Ovis aries: one gene and its partner. The main gene of each other region encodes a partner of the protein of the gene in region 2 in a complex. Links are inferred from orthologs where the notes say so. Each region holds a gene or a part of one and is shown on either strand. Other genes may lie near its edges. The genes, in order: GID4 and RANBP9.

Region 1 (4,338 bases), on a different chromosome or scaffold from region 2:
GAATAGTGTTGGAGGGGTGTGGCACCTAAGGATTCTTTCTGGGGGTAATGAAGATGTTCTAAAATTAGACTGCAGTGGCAGTTACACAGCTTTGGGACCACACTGAAAACTATTGAACTGTACACCTTACATGTGTGACTTGTGTGACAGGCGAATCATACCTCAATAAAGCTCCTATGAAAAATAGAAAGAAAGCAGGAAAGAGGCGGAGTTACAAAACTCAGAAGTTTCTAAGATGACAGAGCCCAAGAACCCAGTTGTGGCTGAAAAACCAGCTGATTGGGCAACTCACAGGCCAGACTCTGCGACAGTAAGACACTCACCCATCCAGGTCCAGGTGCAGGGCAGCATTCCTGGGTGTGACTGCCGCCCCCACCAGCAGAGGGCCGACTCCAAGTGGCCTCCAGCCACTGGCCAGGTCACTCTGGCCACCCTGGGACCTGCCAGTTGTGCACCAACCCAATCCCTACTCCCACCAGTTCACAAGGGAATTGGCACCAGCAGGAATTCAGAAACAACACACTGAGGACAGGGAGGGGAGCTGCCGCAGGAACCAAGATTTGTCTGTGATACCAGGCTGCTCCGCCACTGGTCCCCAACCCCATTAGACACCATCAAACTCAACAAGAGGCCCAAGTCAAGATCATCCCAAACATGACCCACACCAGGCATCTCACTTCTAGAATTTTATGATGAGCTGCAAAATGTAAAAGAGTCTGTATCTTCCTACTCAATTCTCACATTTGGAGCAGAAGAGAAGGGAGATTGCCACAGTGGTCGTCTAATGGTGAAAGCTGAAATAACTCAGCTACGACCCTTTTCTTTTCCTGGCCTTGTCTCACAGCTCGAAGGATCTCAGTTCCCCGAGTAAGGACTGCACTTGGGCCACAGTCCAGTGAAAGCGCCAAATCCTAACCATGAGACCACCAGGTAATGCCCATCTTTTTAATTACGATAAACATCATAGCTCATGTTAGAAATTTCAGTTTGTAGACCAGAGACACAATTAACAGAGATGGAGTTCTCTTGATCTAAAGTAAAAGACTTACTCCCACAAAGCAGTAAGATAAAAAGAGGCAGATGAATCGGCAGTTGGTGGAGACAAAACATATCCCCGTTGTCTTTAAGGTGGGAGAAGAGAGGCTGAGAAGAGAGGCTGTTTGAGATTTAAAATCAGCAAAGAGCAAAGGACAGGAGAAAAATTCTGTCCTCACACAACCTACATTCTACATCTACATCCTACATTCTGTCCTCAGACAGAACATCAAAGCTTCTGCAAGACCTTTGAGGGGACAGTGTTTGGAGGAGCTTTTAGGCACAGCTCAGGAGGTGAGGTATCAGACTGAAGACAACAGGGCGAAGGGAGGAGGAAGTGGGTCCTGCTGCAGGCCTGAGCAGATAGACAGGAGGAACAGTTTTCCAAGAAGGCAGAGAAGAAAGAGGATTAACCACTGCCGATCTCCTTGGGCCGGGAGGAAATGTCAAGTGTGCTCCCATCGACATGAGAGGAGTGAAGTGCAGGAAGGAGCTGGGACAGGTAAAGCTAAAGTTCCAAAGCCATTAGGAGCTGGCAGCAGGTTCTCAGAAATCCAGGTCAGATGGGGGGAGGAAATACCATATGAGAAATAAAAGTGGGTGAGTTACATTTCCTAGCATGAGTATCAGAGACTACAAAGGAAGCCCTGACATGTGGATCAAAGTTAAAAATACAGTAAGAGGGTCCCCTAGAGCCAGGAAGGAGGAGAACAGAGAGATGGGGAGGTCTGGGCAGACAGATGGACAGAACAGGAGTGGACTGGAAGTGGAAAGAGGGTGGGGAGTAGGGAGTGTCAAGAGTCTGAGCCAGGAAGAGACTATGGGTTGGGGGCTAGGAGATCAGCTTCTAACAGACTGTGAGGAGCCCACTTAGGATGTGAGTGCCCAGGCTAAGGAATGGGCCAGCAGTCCAGGTGGGATGGGGGCCCTCAGGTCCCGGGGCTGATGGAGAGAGGAGGCGGATGAAGCTCTGCCGGGGAGGAAACCCCCGGAGAAGGAGGCGGGTCCCAGGGCCTGGGGTTCATGGGACCGAGGAAAACGTGGGAGGCAGCAGGCACGTCTAGGGCCTGGGAGCGTCCAGAGTCAGAGGGAATCCCTGGAGAGTTTCCCGGACGGGGTCCGAGAGGGACTGAAAGAAAGACTGTTGCCGGGGCGACAGGCCACGGGGAGGCAGGGCCGGATCTGAGGCGGCCGGTCCCCGGCTCGGGCCCGCAGGGTTGGGGTGCGCCGGAGGGCCCCCGGCAGGCCCGGGCAGCAGGCCCGTCCGTGGCCGCGGGCCCCAGGGGGCGGCGGCGTGGCCCGGTCCGTGGACGTCTCGAGAGGCCGGGCCGCCGGCTCACCTGCAGCACTACCTCCACGTCGTACGAGTTCCCCTTGCTCTTCTGGTGGCCGCGGAACTTGGAGCCGCTGTAGAGCAGGCTGGTGGCCACGCCGGGCTGCTGCGTGTTGATAGGCGGCGGCGGGATGAGCGAGGCGGCGGAGGCGGCCGAGGCACCGGCCGGCGGGGGACACTCGGTGCGGACCGGCATCGCGGGGTCCCCCGGAGCCAGGGCTGGGGGAGGGGGAGGAACCGCCGCCGCCGCGCGGAAGCCGAGGGCAGACGGAGGAGAAGCCGGCGCGCGCGTAGGGCGGGAGGGGTCCACCCGCCGGCCGCAAGCAGATCGAGCGCTCCGGCCACCACCGGGACCCCGGGACCTGCGAGCAGGGCCTCCGGGTCCTGAGCGAACCCCCTCCCCGCCTGCGCTCGCACACACACCCCTTCCGATTGGCTCGGGCGCGCTGAGGGGCGGGATCAGGCTGGCTCGGCGATTCCGCCCATTGGCGGGCGGGGAAAGCACGTGGCGGGAGCCGAGGCCCTCTGGTACTTGTAGTCTTTTTCCCGAGGCGCGGCGCGGGGGCGGGGCCGGGGCGTTTGTGATGCTGATTGGCTGCGGCGTGCGCTGAGGCGCGCGGCGGCGGCGCGCTACGAGTGTCGTGCGCAACATGGCGGCGCCCCAAAAGGGAGAGGGTGCCGGCGACTGGTGAGGAGGTTTGTGGAGTTCGAGCACACGGCGTGTGGTCCCTCCGCTCCTTTTCCCCGAGCTCTGGTTTCGAGCGGTCGTTCTCTGAGGCCCCCGCGCGATGTGGAGGAGCTGCCTTCGGCTGCGGGATGGGGGGCGTCGCCTCCTGAACCGGCCCCGAAGTGGCCTCACCGCCTCCGAGGGGCTGGGGCGAAAGCCCCCTATCCCCTTCCGGGCCTACGTGCCCCCGGCAGGTGAGAGAGGCCAGGGCGGAGCAGGCTGAGGGGTCGGCCATGCAGGGTCACACGGTGGGAGGGAAGTTCCCCGCGAGGGCAGGGATCGCTCCAGGGCACACGCGCGTCGTTTCCTTTTGGCAGGTGCGGTTTTTCTCTCTTTCACTGGGGAAGCAGAGGTCATCCTTATTTTCAGGCGGGGAAATTCGACTTCTGGGTCGGGATTGCGCTAGAGGCGCGAAGCAGACTCAGAGGTTTGCGGGGCAAAGGCCAGTCTGCTAGGCTGCTTTCTGTGTCCCCGCGACCGGCACTGAAGGGGCCTGAAGCTCGGGCTTTAAGTCTTCCATCCCGGCCGCTTGCTCCACAGCTGTCCTGGCCCTGCCTCCTGCTGCCCTCCCAGAACACCTGCCACCTCTTCTAAGGAGTTGACACCCCGTGCCCCCTTCCTGCACTTCCGACTCGGATGAGGCTTTCTGTAGCGGATCTTTCTTACTCCTAGGCAAAGATTTTGGGATAAGAGTGGGACTGACTTTAAGTGAGTGAAGACAGTAACGCTTTCTTTCCTGCCAGTTAGTACTGTGCTGAAGGTGGGGGTGAGGAGAAGGTCACTGCGGTGTTGGAGCTGTTCCGAGGTCGCCCGTGTGGCCTCCAGTCCCCTACCAGCTGTCCCAGCCATCAGCTGCATAGAGAAGAAAGGTCTTCAGAGAGCCTGCCTGTCCAGCTGAGGAGTACACCGGTGAAGTCAAAGCTGGGGGTCTCTGCTTACAAGTTGTCTTGTCTGCACAAGTGGTTTAGCGTCTCATTGTCTGCCTCCTCTAAAGAGACAGCTTGTGCTGGATTGAGGGAGATGCTGTAGATAGGGAGGCCAGCCTGCCACCTGTTTTTGTAAATAGTTTTCCAGGAACCCAGGCCCGCTCATTCACTGACACACACCTAAGGCTGTTTTCACTACAGTGCAGAGTTGGCTGGTTGTGCCAGACACTGGATGGCCTGCAAAGCTTAAAACACTTTGGCTTTTTACAGAAAAAGTTTGCCAGCAGTGCTGTGGATGCTAGAGCGGTTTTGGGGAA
Region 2 (3,380 bases):
CCTGGAAGCAGCAGTTTAAAAGGACTTGTTTTCCTTTTTTTTTTCCTGTTTTTCCATTTTATTGACCACAAGCAGTACCCACACCAGGAGGGCACCTCTGCTACCGTCCGTCCAACCCCCACCCCCGGTATGGCAGTAAAAGTCTCTAACTGAAGCTCTCTGATGTGTTTGTCTCAGGTATTTTGGTGCCACTGATGAGACTCTCACAGAATATGTGGAAGAGTATCCAAGCGTAGATAATTGTTCTTTTAAAAGAAGGTTTAAGACTCAGTGTACAGCCAACAGACACCTTTGCCAAACCAAAGGATATGGTCATTCTGTTGAAGAGCTTGTTTATATTTTACTTTTAACCAGTTTGGGGGTTTGCTTTAAAACTGGCAAGTCACACACCATATGATGATCATGAAAATAAGATCGACTCCCTGCTTTCTGCATCATCTATAGCATCAGGTTTGGCCCTGATCCAGGGAGGCCAGTAAATGCAAGGCAGTCTTGGGTTGCAGAGCTCAGATTTATAGTAGCAACCACTCATTCTAACTTGTTCTAACTTTACTTGTTCTAACTTTATATTAATCATAAGTATGCAGGTACCTAATGTATAAATTCAACTGACACTCTGGTATCTGTAGAAGTAAATTTTTAATGGCTGGTTAATTATATCACTACATTTTTATTGCAATATAGTACTCATTTTAAGCACTTAAAAATGGAAGGTGTACAAAGATTAAATTAAGACACAGTAAATTGACTAAATATTTGGTTTTTATATAAATAAAGGTCATAACCACACTGTTGACATGTAATACTGTTATAATACAACAGTTCAACTTGTGAGTCTACAACAGAAGTCATCTGTAGTTAAACAGGAAACAAAGTTGAGAAAGACCATGTTAAAACAAAACTACTGGGACTAACAGGTCGGGATTGTAAGTAGCAACAAACATATTCACTCAGCTCCTGAGTATTTCAAGTTTTACAGTACACATTAAAAATGATTTCTTCCATCAACACTATAAATTCAAACTGTCAGATGTTTATGCATTTTGCAAGTTACACTGATTGAATGCTTATATGGGAGCGGGGGTCAGAATACCTCCCAATTTGAAGTTTACATCACCCACATGCTAACACAAACACAACTTGTTCCGTTTCCTTCCCCCCTCTCTCCCCCCAACAACGAAGGCAGGACTTTTTGGTTTCTTTTAGGTAATTGTTTTAGAGGATTTGTGATGATCAATTTGAATGTCTGGAATTCAGTAATATTCAACTCTTAGACAACTAAGAGGCTAAAGATGGAAAATAATTGCTCCTAACACTAAGTTAGAAAATCATTTGCATCATGCTGTAAACTAGGAAGCAATGTAAAGCGACAAAAACCTGTCCCCAGTACATAATTAAAAAAATCTAAGTTTCAGATCAGCAGAGCTGGTCTACTTCCATGTCGTCTATATGCCGCAATGTAAGTGTGAGCTCCGAAAATGCATAGCTAATGTAGGTAGTCGTCCACTGTGGCAAAAGCACAGGATCCGATTCCTGATCGAGCCATCAGTCCCAGACACTGGGTGGCCTGTCCCATGGCTAGGGCGAGTGGAGGTTGCTTTGGCAGATTGTGGGTTTCTGTGGAAAAATGATTAAAAGTGGAAACGCCAATTAGCAAGACATTTTAAACAGCATCTCTCAATCAGGAAAACACTGCATTGCTTACAAAATTACCAATGCCTGTACTGCACTTAACAAGCTAAGTAGCAAAGGTGGTTTTTAAGCAAACAATACCTTGGACATTACTTTGACAAGGTACTATATGGTCACTGGGTTTTCAAGTAGTAGTAAATTCTTGCAGAACTAAGACTGTTAGATATTCAAAAAATTTACTTCCATATTTACTATGATGGGAATGATGTAATTTCTTAACTAATGTTTATCTAATGTTGACATTACCAGAAAAAAAGGCACCAGGCGTTCAGTAAAGTTTTACTGATGGATTCTTCATCTTTCTGGGGATACGGCCCAACAGAGGCCACCTACTCCTCTCCAGGGCACAGTGGTGAATGCTATTTGGGTTGGTAAGCACATTGTTACACTTTTACTTTGGCCAAGGGAGGCACATCAATTATAACTGTCCTTTAGACTTTTTTGGAATACAAAACTTGCAGGCCTCACATACAGTAATGTAACTTGAAGCCCCATTGAGACGTGAAGCTCTACAACACAGCACAGTATACAAATACGCACCCCCCCCCCCCAGCAGTGTAAGTCTGGTCATTCCTTTTGCAGGAACTACATATAGTTAATGAATTTAAGCACTATTTGTAGTTGAACTACATAATTTAGGGCACAATATGTAAGACTATATATATATCTCCTGGATAGTGGTCCTAAGCAATTGACTACTTGAAATTTTAATTCCCCTGGAGAACATAAGATTCTTAACTGTCACATGAAAACTGGTCACTTTTCTTCAAAAATTCTGAATCTGAGCGTTACCCAGATAGAAAGCAATTAGGACTTCATGATTACCTATAATGTAGTCATTTCAAAAAGACAGTTACAGTAAACTATAATTTGCCCTACAATTCTAGCACTGCTACTGAGTATACTTATTTTTTATCAGTAGAACTAAATTAATTTTGAATAACCAAAGCAACATATTAACCAAAGTTCACATCATTATATACAAATCCTAAATGTGAGAAAATTATAACAATACCAATTCCTATGCCCAAACTTCACTATTAAGCCACAACACAATTAATTAATAATGAACTTTATCAGAGAAAAGAAGTAAGGCCCCAATGTCAGAACTCTAAATTGCTCCCCTGGCTTTGGCTCCAGTCTCCTGCCTGCACACTGACACTGTGCACGGCCCTCATCTAAGAGTGTCTCACATGTTCCTCAAAGCTCCCAAGCCTAATGGCCAAACAGCACACAACAGACTTTAAACTGGTAGCTCCCATTTTTCTTGAGGAATTACATTCTAAAATGGAAGGTGAAAAGTCACTCATCCAAATTCCCTTTGAAAAAAAATGCCCAGGTATTAAAATGTCATTTTATGTAAATAATCAACCCTATGTAGTTTATACTGGAGAAGGCAATGACACCCCACTCCAGTACTCTTGCCTGGAAAATCCTATGGACGGAGGAGCCTGGTGGGCTGCAGTCCATGGGGTCACTTAAGAGTTGGATACAACTGAGCGACTTCACTTTCACTTTTCATTTTCATGCATTGGAGAAGGAAATGGCAACCCACTCCAGTGTTCCTGCCTGGAGAATCCCAGGGACGGGGGAGCCTGGTGGGCTGCCGTCTATGGGGTCGCACAGAGTCGGACACGACTGAAGCGACTCAGCAGCAGCAGCAGCATGTAGTTCATATATAAATGCAT

What was found.
Region 1: the proteins of RANBP9 (region 2) and GID4 are in contact, whole or in part, in a cryo-EM structure (PDB 7NSC), measured with the Homo sapiens proteins. The link is inferred for Ovis aries from reciprocal best matches to the Homo sapiens genes RANBP9 and GID4. Residues at the interface, in NP_005484.2 of Homo sapiens: Ser223, Lys224, Gly225, Arg226, Asp227, Gly228, Tyr229, Met230, Gly256, Asp257, Thr274, Phe275, Thr276, Thr277; in NP_076957.3 of Homo sapiens: Leu187, Arg189, Asp194, Glu195, Asn216, Asp218.

What each region holds. Positions count from the first base shown.
Region 1 is NC_056064.1:34,268,963-34,273,300, forward strand, and holds the start of GID4 (glucose-induced degradation protein 4 homolog), read right to left. Parts: upstream 2,803-4,338; 5' UTR 2,565-2,802; coding exon 2,376-2,564; intron 1-2,375. Other genes in the region: ATPAF2 (ATP synthase mitochondrial F1 complex assembly factor 2), read left to right, coding at 3,157-3,289.
Region 2 is NC_056073.1:42,219,012-42,222,391, reverse strand, and holds the end of RANBP9 (ran-binding protein 9), read right to left. Parts: intron 1,618-3,380; coding exon 1,487-1,617; 3' UTR 623-1,486; downstream 1-622. UniProt on the Homo sapiens protein: May act as scaffolding protein, and as adapter protein to couple membrane receptors to intracellular signaling pathways. Acts as a mediator of cell spreading and actin cytoskeleton rearrangement.